Linked DNA regions of Callithrix jacchus. The protein of the gene in region 2 interacts with the protein of the main gene of each other region in a pairwise test. Links are inferred from orthologs where the notes say so. Each region holds a gene or a part of one and is shown on either strand. Other genes may lie near its edges.

Evidence for each region.
Region 1: the proteins of SNRPA (region 2) and QKI interact in binary tests that used the Homo sapiens proteins (3 or more experiments, as listed by UniProt). The link is inferred for Callithrix jacchus from reciprocal best matches to the Homo sapiens genes SNRPA and QKI.
Region 3: the proteins of SNRPA (region 2) and NDUFAF3 interact in binary tests that used the Homo sapiens proteins (3 or more experiments, as listed by UniProt). The two-hybrid records come from large-scale screens. The link is inferred for Callithrix jacchus from reciprocal best matches to the Homo sapiens genes SNRPA and NDUFAF3.

The regions. Positions count from the first base shown.
Region 1 is NC_133505.1:169,957,945-169,962,466, forward strand, and holds the start of QKI (KH domain-containing RNA-binding protein QKI), read left to right. Parts: upstream 1-1,651; 5' UTR 1,652-1,818; coding exon 1,819-1,960; intron 1,961-2,123; exon of another isoform or gene 2,124-2,468; intron 2,469-4,522. UniProt on the Homo sapiens protein: RNA reader protein, which recognizes and binds specific RNAs, thereby regulating RNA metabolic processes, such as pre-mRNA splicing, circular RNA (circRNA) formation, mRNA export, mRNA stability and/or translation.
Region 2 is NC_133523.1:36,299,897-36,303,704, forward strand, and holds part of SNRPA (U1 small nuclear ribonucleoprotein A), read left to right. Parts: intron 1-62; coding exon 63-235; intron 236-1,123; coding exon 1,124-1,303; intron 1,304-3,808. UniProt on the Homo sapiens protein: Component of the spliceosomal U1 snRNP, which is essential for recognition of the pre-mRNA 5' splice-site and the subsequent assembly of the spliceosome. U1 snRNP is the first snRNP to interact with pre-mRNA.
Region 3 is NC_133516.1:31,650,785-31,653,948, reverse strand, and holds NDUFAF3 (NADH dehydrogenase [ubiquinone] 1 alpha subcomplex assembly factor 3), read right to left. Parts: upstream 1,735-3,164; 5' UTR 1,711-1,734; coding exon 1,634-1,710; intron 1,512-1,633; coding exon 1,319-1,511; intron 1,158-1,318; coding exon 1,091-1,157; intron 983-1,090; coding exon 882-982; intron 803-881; coding exon 686-802; 3' UTR 572-685; downstream 1-571. UniProt on the Homo sapiens protein: Essential factor for the assembly of mitochondrial NADH:ubiquinone oxidoreductase complex (complex I).

The sequences.
Region 1 (4,522 bases), on a different chromosome or scaffold from region 2:
GCTGACGCTCCCTTATTGTTTGCTAAGCCGCCGCGCTCGGGTCTCGCTACAATTCGCTTTCAGAATAACGGGAAGGCGCCACAGACCGGTTCCCCGGAGACGCGTCACCCGCGCGGCCCGGGCCCCCCACGCCCGCCGCCCCGGTGGTGCGCACGCGTGTCCGCGCAGGCTTCCCGCCTGGGGAGCGCTAGGCTCCTTTCCGCCGTGCTGCTTTCCAGCCTCCCAACAAATCACGAATACCGAAGGGAGCCACGGCGGCGACGAGAGGGGCGTCGCGCGTGGTTCCCTCGGCGACGAAGCCGGAGCCCGGCGCGCCGACCGAGGGCGCCCCGCGCAGAGTCCCGCAGAGGCGGACGCCGGGGCGCGCGCCTCAGAAAGCCTCAAACTCCTGTCCTCCGCACCCCCCGCCCCCCGCAGCCGAGACCCGCGCCGCGTCAGGCCGGACTGCCAGTGCAGGCCGACCAGCCCTCCGCACGGTGGGCGACGCGCCTGGGCCCCGGTCAAAACCGCCAGACTCAGACCCTAGGCGGCTGCCGCCCCCAGCCCCGCCCCCGCCCCCGCCCCACGCAGGCGCACTCCGGGCCACGCGCCTCCCCCACCGCGCGCTGGCGGGGCCCGGCGGGGGCGGAGCGACCCTCAGGATGGGCGTGGCCACCAGCCTCGACGCGCGCACGCGCTCTGGAGCCCCACAGCTACGTGTCGGGCCACGTGACGCCCACCCCGAAAGTCCCCCGTGAAGCAACAGGACGTTAAAAAAATTTCTCTTCTGCGGGGTGGATGAGAGGTTTTGAAAGAACTATAGTAACGAGGAGCGAGGCGGAGGCACCGTTGGCGCGTCCCGCTGGGATTCCTCTCGCCCGCCGCTGGGGCCACGACCGCGCCCGCGGCCCCGCCCGCCCCCTGCCGTGGAAAGCCCCGCGTACCCCGCACCCTGTGGCCGACAGCCTTGCAACCCACACCCACGCACCCCGGGCGCCCGGCACGGCAGCGACCCCATCCTCTGCTCCCAGGCCCGGGCCCGCCCAGCGCCGCCGACCGTCACGCTCCCGCCGCCCGCCCCGCCGGGGAGGCAGGGAGGAGGTAGCCAGGCGCCAGTGGCTGCCAGGGTGGGGGGCGGCGGGCAGCGGGCTGCAGGAGCGCGCCGGCCCGGCCCCGCTAACGGCCGCCCTGCGCGGCCCCGCCCGCCTCCCGCCCCCGGCCCTCCCCCCGCCGCCGCCCCTCCCCCCCTGCCGCCGCCGCCGCCGCCGCCGCCGCCGCTGGCAGCGCCGCCTGAACTGAGGCGAACTCCGCCGCCAAGTGAGTGAGGAGGAGGAGGAGGAGAAGGAGGAGGAGGAAGAGGAGGAGCGCAGTCAGAGCGCGGCGGCAGCGGCAGCGGCAGAGGCGCCGCGGCGGGCACCAGCCCAGAGAGACCCCCGAGCCCGCGGCACAGGCGGCGGCGGTGCTCAGCGGGCGCGACCAGCCGAGCTAGCGGCGGCCCCGGCTCCTCCTCGTCCGGCGCCAGCGGCCCGCGCCCCGCGCCCGTACTCGGCCAGCCGAGACCCGCCTCCCGCCGGCCTCGTGAGGGACGCGCCGAGTCGGGCGGCCGAGAGCGGCGGCGGCCGGGAGCGCGTCGGCCCCGGGCGGAAAGTGCCTGCGGGGGGCGGGCGAGCGCGCGGTGCCGGCCGCCCCGGGGCTCGGCGCGGGAGCCGGAGCGGGAGCCGGCGCGGAGCGGGACGCCGGGTCCCGAGCGGCCGGCGGCCGGGGCTCGCCCCCGCCCCTCCCTCCTCTCCGGCGGCGGCGGCGGCGGCGGCGGGCGGAGTGAGCTGCGGAGCCTGGAATATGGTCGGGGAAATGGAAACGAAGGAGAAGCCGAAGCCCACCCCAGATTACCTGATGCAGCTGATGAACGACAAGAAGCTCATGAGCAGCCTGCCCAACTTCTGCGGGATCTTCAACCACCTCGAGCGGCTGCTGGACGAAGGTGAGCGCCTCACGGGCCCCGGCCCCAACCCCGCCGGGGCAGCCCCTTTCCCCGCTCCGGATGGTGGGGAGGGCGGGTAGGTCACGGCCGGGCGGGACCGCGCGCCGGGGGGACGGGGAGGCCGGGAGGACGCACAAAGAAGGCGCGGGGCCCGGCTGGCGGCGGCGAGCGGGCGAGCGGGCGGGCGGGCCGGGGTGGACCCGCCGGGGCCGGACGGCCCCCGCCCGGCCGGGACCCAGTGCTGCTGGCGCCCAAGTTTGTGCCGTGCGGAGGGCTGCGGGGCGGACGCTGCGGCCCCTCTAGCTTTGGCGGTCACATTTCCGAGAGGCCGGCGGGGGCCGCGCGGGCTCGGTGGTCCTCGCCGAGCCCTCTCGAGAGCAGGCCCACGCCGCGCCGCCGGCCTGGAGGACGCGCGTGTCCCCGGCGCGGGCCCCGCTCCTCCGCTCGGTCTCCCGAACCAGCCCGGTGCGGACCCCCGCTGCCCCGAGTTCGGGAGCTCTCCCTCCGGGTGAGGACCAAAGCGGGGTTTCGTGCTTGGGGAATTGGTGCAGCTGGTAAATAGTAAGTGGAAGTCAGCGTGGGGCTCGTTCAAGAAAATTCGGTAGGAGACCGAAAGTAATGCTGGCGTAGCCGACAGGGAGGACGAAGTGACGGCGAAAAGCGCTTTTTTTCCTTTTGTTTGGGGAAGCGAGAACTGTTAGGGAGTTGAACTTCACTTTTCGGGGGTGGGGGGGGGTGGAGAGCGAAATACCGCGATGACAGATCGGAGCGCTGCCTGAGTTAGGAAGAACTTGGGCGGAGGGTTTGCTCTCGGGGACGCAGCCGCCTGAGTTTTCAGGACAGGGAATCGAGACGCTGGGAAAGGGCGAAATAAAATTGAGCCAAAGTTTCCAAATAGCTTTATGGAGCTCTGTGGGGAGCGAAGAATGACAAGAAGATTAATGTTGACCAACTCTGGAATTTCCTTAAGAAGTTCTCATAGCAGGACCTGGAGTATTAATTTTTAGTAGCTGTGGGTTTCTGCGGACACCTAGAGAAAAAAAAAAAAATGACCACACACAAAAATGTCTGTTTCGAAAATCGACTAGCCAGGATTTTTTTCTTTTTCTGCTTAGAGGCATTACTGGAGGACTGTAAAATGGAAACCAAAAACTGTAGGTTGAAGAAATAGTGGAGTTTAGGTTTTTCGCAAGAATTTCGAGATTTTAAAAGTAGTCGGGGAAAAGGAGTTTGAAGCTTGGGGAGTTGGAATGTCACCAAAGAACAAAAGGCCGGAAATGTTTACATGATAAAAAGATGGTTAAAGAAAAATCCCAGGAGTTTTGTTGTATTGAAAGTCGTAGAAACAAAAGTAGGAAATGGTTAGGTGTTAGGCTTTCTGGTCGTTGTGCTTCCGTGTGTTAAACGTACAGCACTCACCCACATTGAAATGGGCATTTTCCACTGTTGGAACAACAGATCTGCTAATTTCAGGTTGCTCCAGAGAAAACTTCAGCTGTCCCTTTAAGGGGTTCTGCTTTTCCTATTTGTGTTGGCATTTGAAAGATTGTGGAGGCAGAAAACTTTCTGGAATGTCAAAAAAAAAAAAAAAAAAAAAATTGCTGTAACTCTTAAATTGCGTATTTCCGAATGTGAGCGCTAAGGGGCGCCAGTTATTTTTTAACCATGAAAATGGTCAGAACGAAATGTGAAACATACACAGTAATCTGACCTATATTAAATTAAGTATGGATTATTTGATTTGTCATCACGTGTTCCTATAGTGTTCTCGAACATTGAAAACACAATTATTGGCACAAGTTTATGACGTTTCAAAAATAACATTTTCTCTTTCGCATATTTTGGTTAAGTTTTAATAGTGCTAGTAACAATTTCTGGTAAAAGTTTTTTTCTTGAGTGCAGTTGTTTAGCAGGAATCCTTTTTCGACGGTAAAATGAAAATAGACCTTGACAATGTTTAGGGTTAGTTAAAATTAAATTGCATTCTTGAAATGTTGAATTCAGAGACTATAGGAGATTCAAAAAAAAGTGAAAATACTTCACCTTAGTATACTATTTAAAAAGCTGCATACTTTGGAGTTTCTTTAGTTTAAAAGGGCGTCTCACTTGTGCTTTTATGTTGATCTAAACTCTCTTCATAATTTAGAGCTGGTTCCTTGTTACCAAGTTTCTAACTTTTTGCTTTAATAATTTTTAATTTTTCAAATCCAGAAATTTGAATTACGTCCCTATTTTTAACCAAGGTGTATTTCTCTCTGGTTGGAAATAGTAATCGTTTGACTTTAAAATGTAGGAGACCGAGAGGAAATCTCCTTATATTTGTTTCCCCTTCCCCTTGTAATGTGGCTTATTCCATTTCTCATCTTACTCTAGTTTTAGCCTTGTCAACTCCCAGTGTAAAGATTGCTTCTGTATGGCAGATAGTATGTTTAAAATGGGCAATATAATGACAAGGAAGTTTGACTGTTTTTTATCAGACCAGTACAAACATGCAGGAAAAAGGGCTATTCCTTAGTGTGGAATAAGCTGTTTCCTGTAATTGTTAGCCTTATTATAAACTTA
Region 2 (3,808 bases):
GGTCTTCCATCTTGCTGCACTTCTGAAAGGGGGGCTCAAGGTCTTCTCTTTCATCACTGCAGAGCTAAAGAAGTCCCTGTACGCCATCTTCTCCCAGTTTGGGCAGATCCTGGATATCCTGGTGTCACGGAGCCTGAAGATGAGGGGCCAGGCCTTTGTCATCTTCAAGGAGGTCAGCAGTGCCACCAACGCCCTGCGCTCCATGCAGGGCTTCCCCTTCTATGACAAGCCCATGGTGAGTATTGTGGGTATGGAGGCAGGGTGTGGGTGTGGGTGTGTGAAATGTTATAGGAGACTGGGTGGGCCTGGAGTAGAGGAGGGGATATGAGGGTTAATTGGCCAAGGTGAGGCTGGACCAAGCTCCACTGCACCTTGCCTCATTTCAATAACAAATTTTTGTTTGGCTGGGCACCGTGGCTCATGCCTGTAATTCCAGCACTTTTTTGGGGGGGGTGGGGGGATGTTGTTTTGCTATTGTTGCCCAGGCTGGAGTGCAATGGCATGATCTCGGCTCACTGCAACCTTCACTTCCCAAGTTCAAGTGATTCTCCTGCCTCAGCCTTCCAAGTAGCTGGGATTACAGGTGTGTGCCATCACACCTGGCTAATTTTTTTAATTTTTAGTTCAGAGAGGGTTTCTCCAAGTTGGTTAGTTTGGTCTTGATTACAGGTATGTGCCACCATACCTGGCTAATTTTTTTTTATTTTTAGTAGAGACAGGGTTTCTCCATGTTAGTCAGGCTGGTCTTGAACTCCCGACCTCAGGTGATCCGCCTGCACCTCAGCCTGTCAAAGTGTTACCGTTGTGAGCCACCATTGCCTGGCTTTTTTTTTTTTTGAGACAGTCTTGCTCTGTTGCCCAGGCTGGAGTGCAGTGGTGTGATCTCGGCTCACTGCAACCTCCTGGGTTCAAGTTATTCTCCTACCTCAGTCTCCTGAGTAGCTGGGAATACAGGTGTATACCACCATGCCCAGCTAATTTTTGTATTTTGGATGGAAATGGGATTTTGCCATGTTGGTCAAACTGGTCTCGACCTCCTGGCCCCTGATAAGGTCCAATTTTGAATCTTGGCAATTGGGCTCTGAATCCATGCCCTTAACCCATTCTGCTCTCTGTTTGGTAGCGTATCCAGTATGCCAAGACCGACTCAGATATCATTGCCAAGATGAAAGGCACCTTTGTGGAGCGGGATCGCAAGCGGGAGAAGAGAAAGCCCAAGAGCCAGGAGACACCAGCTGCCAAGAAGGCTGTGCAGGGCGGGGCAGCTGCCCCCGTGGTGGGAGCTGTGCAGGGGCCTGTCCCGGTAAGCCAGGGCCAGCAGACCAACCCTCCTACTGACAGGCTTTCCTTAGCCACATGGACTGGCTTTGGGACAGGGTGGGGAGAGTTCTCCCCGTGGGGCTTCAGACCCCTCCTTTCCATTCCCTTATAGAGATTATGTGTCCGTCTCTCTTTGGGGGGTGTTGAGCCCCTAGATGATACTATCTCCACTCAGAACGCCTGTGTTGAGCCCCTAGATGATACTATCTCCACTCAGAACGCCTGTTCCCGTGTGACTGTTTCTCAGTGTCTTTCTTTCTTCCTGGCTACGTCTTGGTATCGCTGTCTCCTTGGCCTTGATTTTGTTGCCTGTGTCTTTTTGTTGTTGTTGAGATGGAGTCTCACTCTGTTGCCCAGGCTGTAGTGCAGTGGCGTGATCTCAGCTCACTGCAACCGCCACCTCAGGTTTAAGCAGTTCTCCTGCCTCAGGCTCCCAAGTAGCTGGGAGTACAGGCATGTGCCACCACACCTGACTAATTTTTATATTTTTAGTAGAGATGGGGTTTAACCGTATTGGCCAGGCTGGTCTTGAACTCCTGACCTCTTGATCTGCTCGCCTTGGCCTCCCAAAGTGCTGGGATTACAGGGATGAGCCATCATGCTCATCCTGTCTTTTAAGTCATTGTGCATGTAGAAAATCCAAGTATCTACTAAGCAACTGTTAAGATTGGTTTAGAAAGGTCACTGGGTATAAGGGCAATGTGGAAAAAATCAGTTTTATTACGTATTTATTAATTATTATTATTTTGAGACGGAGTTTCGGTCCTACTGCTCAAGCTGGAGTACAGTGGCATGATTTTGGCTCACTGCAACCTCAGCCTCCTAGGTTCAAGTGATTCTCCTGCCTCAGCCTCCCTAGTAAGTAAGTGGGACAACTGGTGGGTGCCACCATGCCATGCTAATTTTTTGTTTTTTTGTTTGTTTTTTTAGTAGAGACAGGGTTTCACCATGTTTGCCAGGCTGGTCTTGAACTCCTGGCCTCAAGTGATCTGCCCACCTCAGCTTCCCGAAGTGCTGGGATTACAGGCTTGAGCCACTGCACCTGGCCCTCACACAATGAAGTTTCTAGAAGAAAACAGGAAAATGTCTTCATGACCTTGGTGAGGGCATGAAAAGTGGAAACATCCTGTTTTCTAAACAGAATACAAAGAGCACTAAGTACAAAAGAAAAGATGGACAAGGCCGGGCATGGTGGCTCACACTTGTAATCCCAGCACTTTGGGAGGCCGAGGCGGTTGGATCACGAGGTCAGGAGTTCAAGACCAGCCTGGCCGACACAGTGAAACCCCATCTCTACTAAAAATACAAAAATTAACTGGCATGATGGCAGGCACCTGTAATCCCAGCTACTTGGGAGGGTGAAGCAGGAGAATTGCTTGAACCCAGGAGGTGGGGGTTGCAGTGAGCCAAGATCACACCACTGCACTCCAGCCTGGACAACAAAGCAAGACTCTGTCTCAAAAAAAAAAAAAGAAAGAAAGAAAGAAAAGATAGACGAACCGGGCCCACTCCTTGGGTCTCTGATCCTCTGTGTCTCTCTGGCTTTTGTCTGTGGCTCTGGCTCTGACTGAGTTGTGCTCTGTTCACTGCCACTCACACTTTCTCCACGTCACCTATGGCGTCCGATTACTGTGGGCTCCTGTTGTTAACCTCTCTCTGCAGTCTTCACTGCACGCAGCTTTCTGTCCACTTTCCACTTCAGATTGTGACTCCAGCCCCTGTCTGTGCTGCCTGCCATCTGCGGTCTTCCCTCTTCCCCTGGCTGCCATGCGTTTCGTTCTGCACCTGCCCTGAGTGTCCCTTGCCATCTCTGCCCTCATTTGTATTTGTTTATATTTTTTGGGACAGATTCTTACTCTGTCGCCCAGGCTGGAGGGCAGTGGTACAGTCTGGGCTCACTGCAACTTCTCCCAGGTTCAAGCAGTTCTCCTCCCTCAGCCTCTCTAGTAGCTGGGATTACAGGTGCCTACCACCAGACCCAGCTAAAATTTGTATTTTTAGTAGGGAGCGGGTAGCACCGTGTTGCCCAGGCTGGTCTCAAACTGCTGGGATCATAGGTGTGAGCCCCCGCGCCCGGCCTACCACACGTTTCTTCCTGCCCCTTCCCTGACTGCCCCTTTCCATCTCCGCCCCTTCCCCGACTGCCCCTTTCCATCTCCGCCCCTTCCCCGACTGCCCCTTTCCATCTCCGCCCCTTCCCCGACTGCCCCTTTCCATCTCCGCCCCTTCCCCGACTGCCCCTTTCCATCTCTGCCCCTTCCCCGACTGCCCCTTTCCATCTCCGCCCCTTCCCCGACTGCCCCTTTCCATCTCCGCCCCTTCCCCGACTGCCCCTTTCCATCTCCGCCCCTTCCCCGACTGCCCCTTTCCATCTCCGCCCCTTCCCCGACTGTACCTTTCCATCTCCGCCCCTTCCCCGACTGCCCCTTTCCATCTCCGCCCCTTCCCCGACTGCCCCTTTCCATCTCTGCCCCTTCCCCGACTGCCC
Region 3 (3,164 bases), on a different chromosome or scaffold from region 2:
CTCTCGGCCAGGTGTGGTGGCTCTTGCCTGTAATCACTTTGGGAGGCTGAGGCAGGTGGCAACATATTAAAACCCTATCCCTAATAATACAAAAATTAGCTGGGCGTGGTGACATGCACCTTTAGTCCAGCTACTTGGGAGGCTGAGGCAGGGGAATCACCTGAACGCGGGAGGCAGAGGTTGCAGTGAGCAGAAATCACCCCACAGCATGTCAAAAAAAAAAAAAATTAGGTGCAGTGGTGGGGGCCTGTAATCCCAGCTACACAGGAGGCTGAGGCAGGACAATCACTTGAATCTAGGAGGTGGAGGTTGCAGTGGGACAAGATCATACCACTGCACTCCAGCCTGGGTGACAGAGCGAGACTCTGTCTCAGAGAAAAAAAAAAATCAGTGATTTTGTGAGAAAAGGCATTGAGGTCCTCTGAAATCTGCATGTGAGCAAGGTCTAGAACAGGTAAACATACTATCCTAAGTAATCTAGATGAAAAAGTGACCCCTTGGTTTCTTCACATTTTTCTCCAAGAGCTCAGTGAGCCAGCAGCACCTGGCCAGCAACACACCTGATACAAAATGGGAGAAGTGTATAAATTATTATGTTGGTAAGCAAGATAAATGCCAAAGGGGAGATAAGGGTGAAAGCACTGGGAACTGGCAGAGTGTAGTCAGCAGGTCAGTTCCTGGTGGTTCACTGAGTAGCTTGGCCCAAAGATGTGAGTGAAGTCCCTCCTGGTGGAGGGATGAGAGCAGCTCCGGTTACTCGGCCTTCATTACACAAGAAGTTGAAGGTGGCACAGGCATTGGGCTGCAAAGAAAAGGCCAGAATCAGCCTGTCTAGTGCCAGGCCTGTACTCCCCACAGCAGGCCCCAGTTATAGGACTCACCGTGTCCTGCACTTCCACAGCAATGCCCCGCTGCCTCATGGCTCGAAGCACCCGGGACTGCAGCCTCTCAGTCCGGTCTCCAGTCCCCACCACAACAATCTCTAGGGAAGTGAGGATGAGACTAGTCTACAATTCTGTTGAGAGGTTGGAGTGGGGGTTGCCTTTTAGGGCTCAAAGCACCTCTGCCCTGCCTCCCCTGTCCCCAGTACCTATCCGGGGCTCCAGCATCCAGAAGAGGGAAAAGCTCTCTTCGGTGATGTCCTGGTGGGATCCCACCTGTGCAGGGAGATGATTTATTCAGTACGACAAATCTACGCAGCTTCTCCCCACCTCCATCCACTACAGGAGATAGAGGAAAGCCACGTCTACAGGGACACAAGCAGGCTGAGGACCTGTGACTCTGGACCTCAGTTTCCTCACAGCGGGTCAGGACTCACGTTCCATTGCAGCAACGAATGCGGGAGCAGAGCGCAGGGCCCGAGCACGCGGTTTCCGTTTATCATGAAGCCGCGGCTGTTGTAACTGTCGATGTACATGGTCTGAAAGCCTTCGCGTTGCAGCAAAGAGATGTGCGTCCGCTGATACAGTTCGTCATCTGCTGGCGAGAGCCGATGCCCCCGTCGCGGGGCCCTGCGGAGGGAACGGGTCAGGGGCACAGGGCCGGGACGGGCCGCCCGAGAAGCCAGAAGGTGCGGGGTGGCAGTCGCCGGCCCTAGGGGGTGGGATGGTCAACAGTGAGGGGTCCAGCTCACCAGGAAAATTCAACAGGCAGACAGCGCAGCGAGGGTCTCGCTCGGTACAAGCTGCGTAGCGCAAGAGCGGTGGCCATGGCTGATCGACGCGCGGCGAAGTCGTCACTGACGCCGGTTGTTACCGGGTTGGCGGGGCCCTGCGGAGGCTGACCCAGCGCGGGTGCAGCGCCCCCTGCGTCCCGGAGTGCACGGCACAGCTCGGCCGGCCCAGCCGGCGAATATCATCTGTCCTGGGAGGAGGACAAGTCCCCCGGCCTCCGGCGCAGCTCCGATGTCATCACCTGCCCCTCGCCCCGCCCCGGGTCCTTGCCCACAGTCCCAGGGGAGTGGAACACCTGGTAGTGTGGCCGCCCTCGGCGTTGCGTGGGCCGCAGTTGCGGCCTGGACCCCCGGCTCTCAACTATTAAGCCGCGCTCCCGAGGCGGGGCAGCCACCCACCTAATCGTGAACCGAACACCTGGCCAGGCGGTCCATGCCAGACTTCGAGCCCCTAATCCTAGCCTTTGGGGCTTCAGGCACCGTGGGCGGGGCAACCAGCTCAAGTTTCTCCGGCTCACAACCGAAGCAAGTCCCGCCCTAACCGTCACCCGCGCGACCGTTGGCCTCTCAGTTGCGCGCTAGAGGGGCGTGGCCTAGCGTGGATTGGCTTATCGGGTGCTCCAGGAGGCGTGGCCAGGTGGTTTCGCCTTAAAATAGCTCCAAGTCTGCGGGCAGCCAGAGCAAGCGGAAGGGCAAGCTGTGGTAGTGTTGGGGTTGCTGCTCGGCTGGGCCAGACCGGGCAGAACCGGACCAGACTTGAAGTAGAAACGCGTGGAGCATCACCTTGTCCTCGTTCACTCTGCTCTCGTCCTGGGAGTCCCCAGTCCCCCGTCTTGAACCAAGTCAAGGGCCTACTGGCGCGAGAGTCGTTGGCGCCCGCGCGGGGATTGGGTATCTCGGCACGCTGGCTCTGTCGTGGCCCCAGGGGAACATTGTTGCGTTCGCTACTCGCGGGGCTGGGCGAGCAGGGAGCTCGGCACAGTCGGGGCCTGGTGGTGGGTCTCCTGGGGGGCGGTCGTAATAGGTTTCTGGGGGTCCCGCCGCTGCTGTGTGGGCCCCTTCGGCCCCTGGTGCTCTGGGCGCTGGCAGCGTCACTGGACAAAGAGCCCCAAGCGCGGGGGTGTCCCCGAGGCGGACGCTTGGGTTTACTTCCTCTCCAGCCCCACGGGCGCGCTTCCCTCCTGGCGGATTCCGAAGCCCGCCCCACCACCGTCACCGCACCAGTGGCCCAGGCTTCGCGGGACCAACAGGGCTAAGCCTGCCCTGCGGATCTAATCCGGATCGGGACCCGGTCCCAGGGGAGGCCCCCACCTCCCCTTCTATTGTTCTGGGGCCCAGGTGAGCGTCTTGTTCCCTCTAGACTCGGTTTCACAGCCTACTGCTAGGTCTGCCTCCTGGGACTAGGGATGGACGGGTTCGATGTGGCCCCAGGGCTAGTGGCCAGTGGGCAGGAGCGCCCCCGCCCCCCGCCAACGGCTGGACAGCGGGCAAC